Oryctolagus cuniculus: one gene and its partners. Each later gene encodes a partner of the first gene's protein in a complex. Links are inferred from orthologs where the notes say so. Each region holds a gene or a part of one and is shown in the gene's direction. Other genes may lie near its edges.

Region 1 (4,627 bases):
AGCAAGAAATAAAAATGGAGTTACTTATGCTAAGCCAGAAAATGATGACATCACTTATGTCAAGCTCAGGGCTTGCCAGAAAGATGCTCCTCATCAGACTGAACAGACATCCCTGGGCAGCCTGATAACGTGTGCTACGGACGATAACCTCAAGTTTCCTTCCTACTCACATTGTGAGTGACCGCACCCAAGGAATACTCCAGATACGCCCTGTCCCAAACAACGGATGGGTGGCACCCCGGGAAACTCCAAGAGGGAGCACAACTGATTGGTGACACCCGGACCCCTACTGGAGACTCCCCCTTCAGAGTGGCAAGGATAAAGGAGAGCCTTTTCCACCGCTCTCGAGGATCATGGCCCGATGTGTGTGAACCTCTGGATCTCCACACATCTGGAGCTGAAGAGCCAGCTTGCTAGCACCCTTGCTAAGTGACGCAAGGCGATTACGGGACCAAACTCCAGCGGAGCCGCTGCCTGGCCGCCTCACCCGGACCCGTTATTGGCTGCTGCCAGACCAACACCAGACCTCTCAGCAGGGGACCTCTCCAACTCCTTGCCTTGCCCTCTGAACCTACTGCCCAGAGTGACAGCCATCCCCAAACTTCCTGCCTGTAACTGACTGTCCTGAGATCCATCTCTCCGAGTGGTAACGAAGACTTTGAACTCTGGACTTTGGACTTTGACTTTTGGTGACCGTGATACGACCCTTGAGGACGCAGCACTTATAATGATATTAGCCGTGTGTAATATGAAGGCATGTGCCTTGACCCTGTGATTAAGAATAATGTTATGTGCTTATATTATTATAGTTGGATTGCCTTTGAGACTGCTAGGTGTGTGTTATGATCTGTGGAGTACTGAATATAACAATGTAGATTGGTATGCAGAGTGGTCAAGCCCTAGTGTGAAATTGTGTGGGCAATAAAAACCTTTCATTGGAAAGACAATCTTGTGTCCATGTGTTCCTTCCTCCCTGTGCTCCGACACCTCGCCCTTAAGCCCTGTCGAGCTGCGTGACAGCAGGCATTCGCGACAATCACTAAAGCAATACTCTCAAGTGGCCAGCACACATTAGTAGGCAGTTGATAAAGATTTGTTCCGTCAATGAATGAATCTAACAATAAAAAGGTATTAGAAGCTACTTGCTTGAGTCTTCCTACCCTTGTCTTGTTCCTGAATGACCTCCGGTCCCACTGTTAACTTAGAAAAGGCTGGGGGGCGACTAAAGCTGATGATCAGGACTCCGAGAGGGTTTACTTTCTACCAGAAAGGCCACGTTTCAGCACGCACAAACAAGTCCTCCTTTTAGTCCTGTAACTTTAGAGCGTTTATCCGCCACACGAAGAAAACTAAAAATTGTTTTGTTTGCGTTTTTTTTTAAACTGAAAACCACCTAAAGTTACGCCAACTTCGTAATCTTTTTTCCCTGTAGAAACCGAAGGCCAGCAGCAACTTGGACGGGGAAACCTTAGGGCTGTGCCACGCATGCGCTCCGCTGTCGCCAGAGCGGCAACTGCGGCTGCGCAAATCGACGGCCCGCCCCCTCCCTGGTCACGTGTCAGGGGACCGCAGCGTGGCGGCGGCCGTGGCGGTAGCGACGGCAGGCCGTAGGGCGGTCAGAAGGTTTCCGGTTCCGGTGTAACGTTCGGGCTCCGTCTCAGGGGCTGAAGTTTGTGAGGTGAGTAGTGGCCCCGGGCCCGGGGAGGGTGTCTTCCCGTCGGAGCGGCTGGGGCCGGGGCTGAGTCCGAGGGGAGGAACAGGGTGAAGGGTCCAGCGGGAAGGATGCTGAGAGAAGCACACGGTTCGGGAGAGAACGGATTGGAATGAGATTGTTGAGAGGAAAAGGGCGGGGGCGGGACGGGGACAGGCTGGGGAGAGCAGCTCTGGGGTGAGGAGTTTGGACAGAACAAGGTGAGGGAGGAGGCCGGTGAGAGAGAGAGCGAGAGTAAAAACAGGAGGAGGGGGGCTCCTGGGAGCACTCGGGTTGCAGCAAAGGAGAGCGTAGAGTAGGGAATCCTTTAAGAAGATTGGATTCTGCTGCCTGCTCATTGAGCAGTCATTCTGCCTGCCTCCCTTTCTGCACGCCAGCTCTCCCCGCCCCCACTCCCACCAGCCGTTATTATGGAGCATTGGGTCAGTAGCAAAGGCTGCTGTTGGAAACTTTTTTTTTTTTTTTAACATCTCAGAGGGAATTAGGTTGAACTTGAATACACTTTTGTTAGTACAGCGCTTGGGCACACATTTCATCTGAAAATAAAGATTCTTCCGTTTATTGCTTTGGTTTTCAAATTGCTTACTCTTTCTGGCCTGTGATGGAGTTTTCGTGGAATGTAGGCCCTTGTTACAGCCAGGGTGATTGTATTTTGTTCTCTGCTGTTTGTATCAGCACCTTCTACATTGCTTGACACTTAGTATTTGAGTAAACAGGGGCTTATGGGAATTAATTTGCCCAAGGGCTTGTGAATGATGGGATTAGCTTGGGAGTAGGGGTCTGTACCATTTATTGACCATCTGTTAGGCACTGTGAAGAACATTAGAAATAAAATCTTTGTGCTCCTGAGGAATTTGGAGAGTTAGGGATTAGATTAAAATATAGACATGATTAATGGTGACATTTTATACTAACTTGCATTGAATACAAAGATTTGTGTGGGAGAGTCCTTTATAATACTATTTTCTGTGATGAATTAAAAAGTAGGGTACAGGTAAAAAGGGATTGAGAAGAGAACATCTAAAGTGAGGGCATTTTTTTTTCCCAAGCTGAGAGAGTACTTTCATCACGACTTCTCACAGAGATCCTGTAGAATGCAATGGAGAATTTGCACTGTGCTGTCCTGCAGTAGCTTAAGCTGCCGCTTGAGACATGTGTGTGCCATACTGGAGTGCCTGTGTTTGAGTCTCGCCCCTGCTTCCAGTCCACCTTGCTGTTGCGTATCTTGGGAGGCAGTAGATGATGGCTCAAGTACTTGGGTCTTTGAGACCCGTGTGGGCACCTTGGATAGAGCTCCTGGCCCCTGGCTTTGGTGTGGTCCAGTCCTGACTATTGTGGGCATTTGGAGAATGGACTCAAGTGCATGGTAGGGGTCCAAGTACTCAAGCCATCACCTGCAACCTACCAAAATGTGCAGTTATCAGGAAGCTGGAATGAAGAGTGGAGCCAGGACTCAAACCCAGGCATTCCAAGCTGGTCTTGTCTTTTTCTTTCTTTCTTTAGAGATTCATTTATTTATTTGAAAGGCAGACTGACAGAAAGATCTTCTGAATCCACTCGTTCACTCCCTAAATGTCACAAAAGCAGGGGCTGGGGCTGGGCCACCACTGAATCCAGGAGCCAAGAACTTCATCCAGGTCTCTCATGTGGGTGGCAAGAACTCAAGCACTTGAGCCATCATCTGCTGCTTTCCAGGCATGTTGCAAAGGGCTGTTATTGGAAGGGGAGTATTTGGGACTCAAACTGGTGCTCTGATACAGGATGCAGATGTCTCAAGCAGTGACTTAACCTGCTGTAGCACACAATACCTGCCCTGCAAGCAGGGTCTTACCTACTACAGCAAACACCTGCCCTTTAGTCTTGTTTTAAATTCATTTATTTATTTTTATTTGAAAGGCAGAAAAAAAACCATAGAGACAGAGATCGTCCATTTGCTAGTTCATTTCCAAAATGCCCACTGTAGCTGGGGCTGGGCCAGGCCAAAGCCAGGAGCCTAAAACTCAATTGAGGTCTCATGTGGATGACAGGGACCCAAATCCTTGAGCCATCATCCCCTGGGATTGGAAGTAGAGCTGGGACTTGACGAACACATGGGTGTCCCAAGCCACCACACCAAACTCCTGCCCCTACCCTAGTCTTGTTTTAATGTTATATGCCAGTCTTTATTGATTTGCTCAAAAGGAAGCTAGAAGTAATTTTTAGAGTTTGTTTCTTCCACAGGTTTCATTGATTTTTTTTTTCTAAGATTCATTTTTTTTATTTATTTGAAAGGCAGAGAGAGAGAAAAGGAGAAAGAGAGAGAAAGAGATCTTCCATCCACTGGTTCACTTCCCAAATGGCCACAATGGCTGGGGCTGGGCCAGGCTGGGCCAGGCTGAAGCCAGGAGCCAGGAGCTTCTTCTGGGTCTCCCATGTTGGTGAAGGGGCCCAAGCACTTGGGCCATCCTCTGCTACTTTCCCAGACCCATTAGCAGGGAGTGGGATTGGAAGTGCAGCAGCCAGGTCTCGAACCAGCGACTATATGGGATGCCAGTGTCACAGGTGGAGGCTTAACCACAACACCAGCCCTCATTGATCCTTTGATAACTACTGAGTTAGGGTTAAAAATCAAATGGAATGTATTTGTTTCTGCTTTAAAGTATGAGGATGGTTCTTGGAGAAAGTATTTGCCTTTTAAAGATGTGAAGGGGGGCTGGCGCCGTGGCTCACTAGGCTAATCCTCCGCCTGCCGCGCCAGCACCCCGGGTTCTAGTCCCAGTTGGGGCACCGGATTCTGTCCTGATTGCTCCTCTTCCAGTCCAGCTCTCTGCTGTGGCCCGTGAAGGCAGTGGAGGATGGCCCAGGTGCTTGGGCCCTGCACCCACGTGGGAGACCAGGAGGAAGCACCTGGCTCCTGGCTTCGGATCGGCACAGCAC
Region 2 (4,442 bases), on another chromosome or scaffold:
GAAAAAGCTATTATAAATCCTCAGTATAAAACAAAATTTTACATTTAAAAAAAAATGTGTAAACCATTTTGAAAAAAAAAGATTTACTTATTTATTTGAAAGGCAGAACTACAGAGAGGAAGAGGCACTATCCACTGGTTCACTCCCCAGATGACCACAAGGGTTGGAGCTGTGCTGATCCGAACCCAGGAGCCAGGAGCTTCTTCCAGGTCTCCCACAAAGGTGCAGGGCCCAAGGACTTGGGCCATCTTCTACTGCTTTCCCAGGCCACAGCAGAGAGCTGGATTGGAAGAGGAGCAGTTGGTCTTGAACCGGAGTCCATATGGGATGTCGGCATTGTAGGCAGCCTTTACCTGCTACGCCACAGCGCTGGCCCCTCTTTTACTTTTTTTTTTTTTTTTTTTTGACAGGCAGAGTGGACAGTGAGAGAGAGAGACAGAGAAAGGTCTTCCTTTATCCGTTGGTTCACCCCTTAATGGCCGCTGCTGCCAGCGCACTGCGGCAGGTGCACCACGCTGATCTGAAGCCAGGAGCCAGGTGCTTCTCCTGGTCTCCCATGCTGGTGCAGGGCCCAAGCACTTGGGCCATACTCCACTGCACTCCCTGGCCACAGCAGAGAGCTGGACTGGAAGAGGAGCAACCGGGACAGAAGCCTCAAGAAAAGGAATGTTTTTGGGGCCGGTGCTGTGGCACACTAGGTTAATCCTCCGCCTGCAGTGCTGGCATCCCATAAGGGCACCAGTTGTATTCCCAGATGCTCCTCTTCCGATCCAGCTCTCTGCTATGGCCTGGGATAGCAGTGGAAGATGGTCCAAGTCCTTGGGCCCCTGCACCGGCGTGGGAGACCCAGGGAAGGCTCCTGGCTCCTGGCTTCGGATCGGCCCAGCTCCGGCCGTTGGGGCCATTTGGGGAGTGAACCAGCGGACGGAAGACCTCTCTCTGTCTCTCTCACTGTAACTCTGTCAAAGAGTGAATTGGTGGCGGGAAATACTGATTTTTACTAGTCTTTATAAAGACAATTTTATGGGAAAACAAGCCAAAAGTTTCCTTATGCGCTGTCCTCTCGGTCGGAGGACGAACTCCTTCAGGAGGTTAGCAATCTTCAGCGTCTCTCCGAAGCCTGGGAACGAATCTGCAGGGCAGCACCCCAGGACTCCCACTCCCCAGCAAGGCAGCGCGCGGGCGCCGCCCACGTGGAGCACGCCGGCCGCCCGCTCGGCCTGCGATTGGTCGAGCCTGCCCGGCCGCGGGCAAAGGCGCAGGCGCGCTCTTTTAAAGTCACCGTGGAACGTCGATGGACGCAGGCCACTTCCGGCGTAGCCATGGCGGCTAACGCTACTACGAACCCCTCGCAGCTGCTGCCGCTAGGTAATGGTTTTCCTGTGAGGGAGCTGGGGCGGGAGGCTGGGGTTCAGGACTGGGGGCCGCGGGGTTGCGGCCGAGGCACCCCTGGCTGGTAGCGGGCCTATGTGTGGGGCCGAGCGTTTCCCCTCCGCGGCTCGCGCCGGCTCCCGAGCTCCTGCGCGCCAGGCCGCTGCTGCGATGTAACGTGCTCCTGCCCCTGGAGGCAGCTCCTCGGACTCCCCCGGAACGAACCGTGGGCGGGAGAGGGCCGCACTGGGCGAGCGCACCGTCGGCCGTGTTTGTTGGGAGCGCTGCGGCGCCGTGTCCGGAGTGGCATTTGGGATCCCCAGATGGGGTTCACCCTGTTGTGTGTCTGGGAGTTGAGCGGGAAGCAGCGCGCTGTGGAACGAGCCTTAGAGGAGGAATCTGGAAACTAGCCCTGTTTGCCATTCATTCATTCATTCATCCATCCATTCAGTAAGAGCCCGTGTTCTTCCTGCGTGCTAGTCCACAGCGACCTTAAACCACAGCCATCGCTCCCGAAGGGTACACAAGCCAGTGGAGGAGACAGTACTGGACAAGTAAACCTTGTGCCCCCCGTGCCAGGCTGGCCAGAGGTGCTGAAGCTGCCCCCAGCACCGCGGGGCTTCACTGGCGAGGGAGGAGGTGACAGGAGGCTCCCGCGACGACGGTCAGCGGCCTCTGACATTGTGTAGCCGGCGAGGAGTGGTTGCGTTGACGGACTTCAGTGATTAGGCTCGTGGAAAGCCCCGTAAATGCCCGTCCCTGTCCACTGAAGATCCAGCGATGGGCGAAAATGAGCACAGTGTCCGGGCTCGTGGCGCTTAAGAGTCTGGGGGGATGTGTTTGTGTCCCTAAATTAATCACGTGATCTGGAATAAAGATAAAGCCACAATCATGATAGATTGCTGCACAGAAAGGAGAAGTGGAAAGGCTTCTGATTAAGTAGTGGGAGCGCAGAGGTTTGCATTTTAAGATCCGAGGTTACCAAAGGGGGATGTTCTTCCTAGTTTAATTTTCACTGAATTTGGCAAGTAACAAATGCCAGCGTGCACTCGAGTATGTGCTAAAATGATGAATGGGTAAAATAATCTTTTTGCTCACGCAGAGCTTGTGGATAAATGTATAGGATCCAGAATTCACATTGTGATGAAGAGTGATAAGGAAATTGTTGGCACCCTTCTTGGCTTCGATGACTTCGTCAGTATCCTTTTAAAACGTGGTGCTGTGGCTTTTTCCTGTTTATTTAATAACAGAACCGTAGACAGTGTGTTTCTGGGTGTTAACGATAAAAGTCAGTTCATCTCAGGGCACTTGTGATGGTGTTTTCAGAGGTGAGTATACTGGAAGAAGGTCACATTCCTACCAACAGTCAGCCTTTTTATTATGAGCCTTTGTGTTAAATATTATCATTACAACTGAATGAAAGCAGAAACCAGAGTTGTTTCAACCTGGAGTGTTTATTTCCTTAACACCACCTTTCAGATATGGTATTGGAAGATGTCACTGAATTGTGAGTAGTGCTAAAAATGACAGAACTCGGCTCTTTTTCAAATTCAGGACATTTTAAGTACTGTTTAGTCAGCAAAATGGAAGTAGAGGCAACTTTTATTTACTAATGCTTGTAAAAGTTATGTAATTGTTGCTGAATTGCTAGGAAATTAGTGGAGACAAAGCTTGAAGGTAACAGATGTTAACGTGCAGGGATTTTAAGGCTCAGGTCATATCAAGGACCTGATGATGAAAACATTTAACTATATAATGTAAAATGTAAGTGATAAGTATTAGTTACATAGTAGTTTAGTGGGTAGAAATCAGTAGTAATACAAAATGTTAAAGAGTGAGTCTACTAAATATTTTATATTTGATCTTGGCAGGTTCCACCTTTTTTTTTTTTTTTTTTGAAGATAAGTCTCATGGCTGTGAATCTTTTTTAAAGCTTTATTTATTCAAAAGCCAGGTTACAGAGAGAAAGAAAGAGAGGGAAGGAGGGAGATCCTCCATTCGCTGGTTTACTCCCCCAAAGGGCTGCAATGCCAGGGCTGGGCCAGGCTGAAGCCAGGAGCCATGAGCTTTCCCCAGGTCTCCCACATCTGTTCAGGGGTTCAAGCACTTGGTCCACCCTCTGTTGCCTCCCCAGGCACATCAGCAGGGAGCTGGACTGGAAGTGGAGCAGCCAGGACTCAAACCAGTGCCTGTATGGGATGCAGCACTGCAGGCAGCAGTTTAACTTGCTGAGCCACAGTGCCAGCCCCCTTGGCTATGGATCTTATTTATATCCATTGGTCTACTCTTGCTTTTGATGAAGAGTGTACATTACCCAGTGGATAACTTTTATCTCTGAAAATCACCTTTATAATTGCTGAACTTTCGTTTATACAAACATTACCTTTTTAGAGAGAGAAGGTGTTTCTAAAATGCTGCCTTTGGTTACCACCATTTATCCTGACTTTCTGTTTTATCACTTCATTTAGTGAAATCACACCGGAAGGAAGAAGGATCACTAAATTAGATCAGATTTTGCTAAATGGAAATAATATAACAATGGTAAGACACGTTAAAACTGTTTCTGTGGGACAGGGCTTACAGACCTAACTAGTAATGTTGCCGGTTGCTTCACTCATGCCGTGGCTTGGTGGTGCTTAGGGTGGGAAAGAGATTGTCTGGTAGTCAGGGCCCTAAAGCCAAGCTCTTGAGAAGGTGTTAGGCCTAAGGATTAGTTTGCTGGGCTTTTTACTTTTGCTTGGTTAGGAATCATTGTTGAGACACTAAGTATTAATTGGTGGTACTGGGAACTGGAAACAGATATTGATGACCTGGAGAAAATGAGGAAGGGTGAGTGGCCTTGGTTGGTGAGGAGCATGTGGCAGGCAGGGTTTGTAGGTACAGTGATGTTTTCATTAATCAACTCGTTTTTTCTTTTTTTTTTTTCTTCTATGCAGTTGGTCCCGGGAGGAGAAGGGCCTGAAGTATGAGCAGATTTCCTTGACTTACGCTAGATTCTGTGTTGTCTTCTGGTGGCAACAACACTTTTTTTTTTTTTTTTTTTAATTTTTTAATGTTTAGATCCCATAAAG
Region 3 (4,676 bases), on another chromosome or scaffold:
AGAAGGAACCAGAGAATGGTAACCGTAGCAAGCAAACAAGACTAGCTACGTCCTGCAAGCTAAGGGAAGGGCCCACCCAGGTCCCTGCCCACCCAGGTTCAGTTCCCCCAAGAGAGCGGACTCTCCCAAGGCGGCTACAGGAGGACTTTTGCGTAGTTGGCACCCTCTCCACCCGGGGCCCTCCCACGTGACCGCCAGCACAGCTGACTGGGGTCCCTGCCCTGTTAGTATCAGGAAACCCCAGCTGACCAGAGGCTGGGGGAAGGGAGAAGAGCCCGAGGCAAGGGTGTCCACCTGGCCATGATTTCGCTACAGCTCCACAGCCTGGGCAGAGACGGCCAGGGACGCGCGCGGATGGACCCTGCTCCGCGCTAGGGCGGGGTCCCCCTCATTCCCCGGGGCTGAGGGCTGGGCCCTCAGAGAGAGGCACTGACCCGGCTCGAGCGGCGGCCCCGCTGCCTCCGCCTCCGTCCTCATGACCCGCGCAGCACGGGGCGCCCATGGCCCCGGCCCGCTGCGGGCTGCAGCTTCGGCTTCAGCTGGCGCAGGAGCGCAGCCAATGCGTGTCGAACGCCGTAGCCGCCGCCGCCACCGCCACAGCGGGGAGAAGCGGAGGCGGCGGCCGGGCAGCCCCAAGCCCCGCCCCAGCCACTCCAGGTCTTGGATCCGGAGGCCCCGCCCCTCCCCTAATCCCCGCCCCTTCCCAGTCCCAGACTTCGATTCCTAGAGGCTTCCAGCCTCATGATTTAAGCCCGGCCTGGCCATTCACAGTCTCGGTTTCTGGTAGCTCCGCCCCCTTACCGAATCCTCGCGCAGACGCGCGGGCCCTTCCTTCGCTCGGTCCCCCGGAAGCTCCGCCCCTTCTGAGCCCCTCCCCGAGGGCTCGGCGCAGCGCAAACACTGGCTCCCCAGGGGCTCTTTCCCTCAGCAAGCCCCGCCTCTGCCAGGCCCCACCCCTTTGCCGGCTTCAGCTGTAAGCCGGCTCCGGCCCTGTGATTGCCTAGGGTCCAGGCAACCGTACTCTGATCTCTTTAGTGCTGAGCCGGCCCCTGCTCCACTTGGTACCTCAGTTTCTCTGTCCAGACACGACACCTCCCCTCTCTGAGAGTTCCCGTTACCTGGCAGTGCCGGGTTCCAAAGATTAAATTGTGAGGGGAGGTCCCAGCCCTCATTCCCACTTCCTGCTGCCCCGGATCCGAGGACCCAGGCTGTAGATCCCCTCCTTGTCGTCCAGCCAGTCTTTTGTGAGGGGTGCTTGGAAGCGCAAGCCCCCCTCTCCCGTTTCGGGCCCCCGCGTCGGGGCTTCCGGCGGCCCCCGGGCCCTGTCATCAGCCCTCTCTTCCGGCGCCGGAACTATCGTACCTGGGTCCGCGTTTCCCAGCCGGCGGAGTAAGGAGGAAGCGGAGACGAGCTCGCGCTCTGGGACGGTCCCCGCGCGCGGCATTCTGGGAGCGCGTGGTATTCTGGGAGTGCAAGGCCCGCCATTCGCCCCGCTCACGCCTTCTCTCTCGCAGTTGTTGTCGCAGCACCGAAGAGGAGGAAGAAGGGGCTCGAGCCGGTGAGTAGGGGCCGGGGACGGGAAAGGGGAGGCCTAGGCGCTCGTGAGGGATCGGGGGCTGGGGCAGGACGCGCTGCAAGGAACCGCGCAGGGCTCCGGGAGGGAAGGAAGCGGGAAGCCGGGACACCCAGACACCCGCGTCGCCTCGCCTGAGCCTGGGGAGTGAGTTCGTTACCTCCCCCTCGTTTCTGGCTGCTTAGCCTCGTCCCTGAACTCCATCGGCGTCATCCTTGGCCTCCAGCCCCCTTTTCCGGCGCTGATGCAGCCCCTCGTGCTTTCCACGCCATTGCAAAAGCGTTTTCCGAAGTTCCTCTGCTTCTGAACTGTGTGTTCGATTTGGCCTGTAAACGCTGATACCTTTCCATTGGGTCGTTCCTTCCTTGAGATCCCGCGCTGGTTCCGTGCTCTCTGAAACGTAACATTCCAGCTCTGGCGGCGGAGGGCTGGGGATCCTCACGGAGCGAGCCTGGCTGCCCTGTCGTGTTCTCCCTTATTTCGTGCCAGCCTTGCGTCCTTACCTGGCTCAATAAAAACTCCACTGCTTGTCTCTCAACTACGTCGGCAGATCCTTGTGTTTTTCCTCCAAGATAAGCAGTTTCCTACACGTTGTCCCTTTGTGACCGCTTTGCTGTTTTCTCTTTAGCTTTAACAGTAAAGCGAATGGAAAGTCAGAGGCTGAAATAAAAACACAGCCTCCTCTCCTGGATATGTCTGGGTCCTCTGGTTGGTTGGTTTGTTTGTAAGATTCATTTATCTGAAAGGCAGAGTTACACAGTCGGGGTCGGGGGCAGGCAGAGAGAGAGATCTTCCATCCCCTGGTTCACTCCCTCAAATGACTGCAACGGCTGGAGCTGGGGGCCAGGCCAGAGTCAGGATCTTCTCCCCGGTCTCCCACAGGTTCAGGGGCCCAAGCATTTGGCCCATCCTCTCCTGCTTTCCCAGGCTATCAGCAGAGATCTGGAGTGGCAGTAGACAGCCGGGACTTGAACCAGTGCCCCTGTGGGATGCCGGTGTACCCGCTGCACCCCATCGTGGTTTTCAGGATGCAGTCACCCACAGCTGTGGATAGGCAGATGTGTTGCTCAGCATGGACGTTCCGAGCGCCTCTCTCCCAACACACAGACCACATTGGTCACTGGTTATCTTGGCCAAGGAAAAGGGACATGAGGGGCCAGTGTTGTGGGGCAGCTGGTTAAGCTGCCACCTGTGACGCTGGCACCCACGTGAGAGTGCCAGGCTGATTCTCAGCTGCTCCATTTCCTATCCAACTCCCTGCCAGTGCTCCTGGGAGGCAGCAGATAATGGCCTGAGGTTTGAGCCCCTTGCCACCCACATAGGGAGACCCAGATGCAGTTCCAGGCTTTGCAGCCATTTGGGGAGTGGCCCAGCGGATGGAAGATCTCTCTCTCTCTCTCTCTGTATCTGTATCTGTGTCCCTTACTCTGTCTCTAGGTAAAGGGACATGGGAGCAGGTGAGGAGTAGGGAGGTAGGTGGGAGATTCTTTTCCTTTCCGTGAGCTTTCCTTCTGTCCAGCACGCTGTCTCTCCCCTCTTCATATTGTGTGTATTTGCCAGGAAGGCTCCTCCAAGCCAGGAGCTGAGCTGCTCTTGTGTAGAAAATGCAGCTTTGGCACCGGTGTTAGGTTTTATGGGGTCCAGGCCTTGGGGAGACATGGTGCGCACCACACGCGGCCTCTGGCTCTGAAGGCTGGGCTCACTGCTGTGTCTCCCACCACAGCACTCTCCTCCTGCCGAGATGTCCATCGGTGTGCCGATCAAAGTCCTGCACGAGGCCGAGGGCCACATCGTGACCTGCGAGACCAACACCGGCGAGGTGTATCGGGGCAAGCTCATCGAGGCAGAAGACAACATGAACTGCCAGGTACGGGAGGCTGGCGGCGTCTCCATTGTGCCCGACGTGTGGCAGGCGCTGCCGCGGGCTCCGGGACTGTGGGCCTGAGCAAGAGACAGTACTGGGGCAAAGAACCGTATGGAGATTTGGAATAGTTAACTTTGGCCTTTGCCTTCTCCATCCCATAATTGTCCCCTCCCAACTCCCCATTTTAAAGATTTATTATTTATTTGAAAGGCAGAGAAAGAGAGGGAGAGATCTTCCATCTACTGGTTCACTCCCCCAAATGGCCACAGTGGTTGGATCTGGGCTGATCTGAAACTGGGAGCCGGGAGCTTCTCCCAGGACTCCCACGTACAGGGACCCAAGCACTTGGGCCATCTTCTACTGCTTTCCCAGGTGCATTAGCAGGCTCAGAAGTGAAGTAGCTGGGACTTGAACCGGTGCCCGTATGGGATTCCAGTGTTGCAGGCAGTGGCTTCCCCTGCTACACCACAGTGCCAGCCTCTCCCATGTTTTGGGGCCTGTTTGAGAGAAATGGTGTTACCACCTTCAGCAGAATTCTTCAGGTTCAGGGCCATTACCCTCCCACCCCCACCACCCCACACAGTGAGCAGAAACCTGTGTGCTCTTTTTCTTAGAAGAGGGGTCATGTTTGATTACTGCAGCTGCCTAGTGAGGTAAATGAGTTTGGTGATAGTCTCGGCATCCAGGAAAGAGGGAGAATGTGGTTAAAGGACTCATCTACTGAATATTGCTCTGCTAATAAATGATAGAGCAACTTTCTAACGTGGTGTCTTTCTCAAAGCACTGCTTTTTACATAGTCAGGTAAATTTAAAACAAAAAGATTTATTTGAAAGGCAGAGTTACAGCGAAAGAGTGGGAGAGATAGCTTCCATCTGCTGGTTCACTTCCCAAATGGCCGCAATGGCCGGAGCTGAGCCAAGCCAAAGCCAAGAGCTTCTTCTGGGTCTCCCACATGGATGCAGGGGCCTGAGCACTTGGGCCATCTTCTACTGCTTTCCCAGGCCATAGCAGAGAGCTGGATCAGAAGTGGAGCAGCCGGGACTCAAACCGGCGCCCACATGGGATGCTGGCACTGCAGGTGGCGGCTTTACCTGCTATGCTGCAGCACCATCAAGTATTTTTTATAGCATTATTTTCCAGAGTGTCAGCACATGTTCTTTTTTTGTTTAAAATTTTATTTATTTATTTGAATGGCAGAGGGAGAGAGATCTTGCATCTGTTGGTTTATTCCCCATATA

What was found.
Region 2: PRPF3 (region 1) and LSM5 share a complex: the UniProt entries of both Homo sapiens proteins name them as parts of the precatalytic spliceosome. The link is inferred for Oryctolagus cuniculus from reciprocal best matches to the Homo sapiens genes PRPF3 and LSM5.
Region 3: PRPF3 (region 1) and SNRPD3 share a complex: the UniProt entries of both Homo sapiens proteins name them as parts of the U4/U6-U5 tri-snRNP complex. The link is inferred for Oryctolagus cuniculus from reciprocal best matches to the Homo sapiens genes PRPF3 and SNRPD3.

Annotation. Positions count from the first base shown.
Region 1 is NC_091438.1:47,654,356-47,658,982, reverse strand, and holds the start of PRPF3 (U4/U6 small nuclear ribonucleoprotein Prp3), read left to right. Parts: upstream 1-1,538; 5' UTR 1,539-1,678; intron 1,679-3,214; exon of another isoform or gene 3,215-3,406; intron 3,407-4,627. UniProt on the Homo sapiens protein: Plays a role in pre-mRNA splicing as component of the U4/U6-U5 tri-snRNP complex that is involved in spliceosome assembly, and as component of the precatalytic spliceosome (spliceosome B complex).
Region 2 is NC_091447.1:23,532,633-23,537,074, reverse strand, and holds the start of LSM5 (U6 snRNA-associated Sm-like protein LSm5), read left to right. Parts: upstream 1-1,210; 5' UTR 1,211-1,322; coding exon 1,323-1,368; intron 1,369-2,473; coding exon 2,474-2,569; intron 2,570-2,850; coding exon 2,851-2,878; intron 2,879-3,839; coding exon 3,840-3,912; intron 3,913-4,307; coding exon 4,308-4,340; 3' UTR 4,341-4,442. UniProt on the Homo sapiens protein: Plays a role in pre-mRNA splicing as component of the U4/U6-U5 tri-snRNP complex that is involved in spliceosome assembly, and as component of the precatalytic spliceosome (spliceosome B complex).
Region 3 is NC_091452.1:31,111,923-31,116,598, reverse strand, and holds the start of SNRPD3 (small nuclear ribonucleoprotein Sm D3), read left to right. Parts: upstream 1-1,444; 5' UTR 1,445-1,558; intron 1,559-3,296; 5' UTR 3,297-3,314; coding exon 3,315-3,440; intron 3,441-4,676. Other genes in the region: protein GUCD1, read right to left, coding at 1,119-1,329. UniProt on the Homo sapiens protein: Plays a role in pre-mRNA splicing as a core component of the spliceosomal U1, U2, U4 and U5 small nuclear ribonucleoproteins (snRNPs), the building blocks of the spliceosome.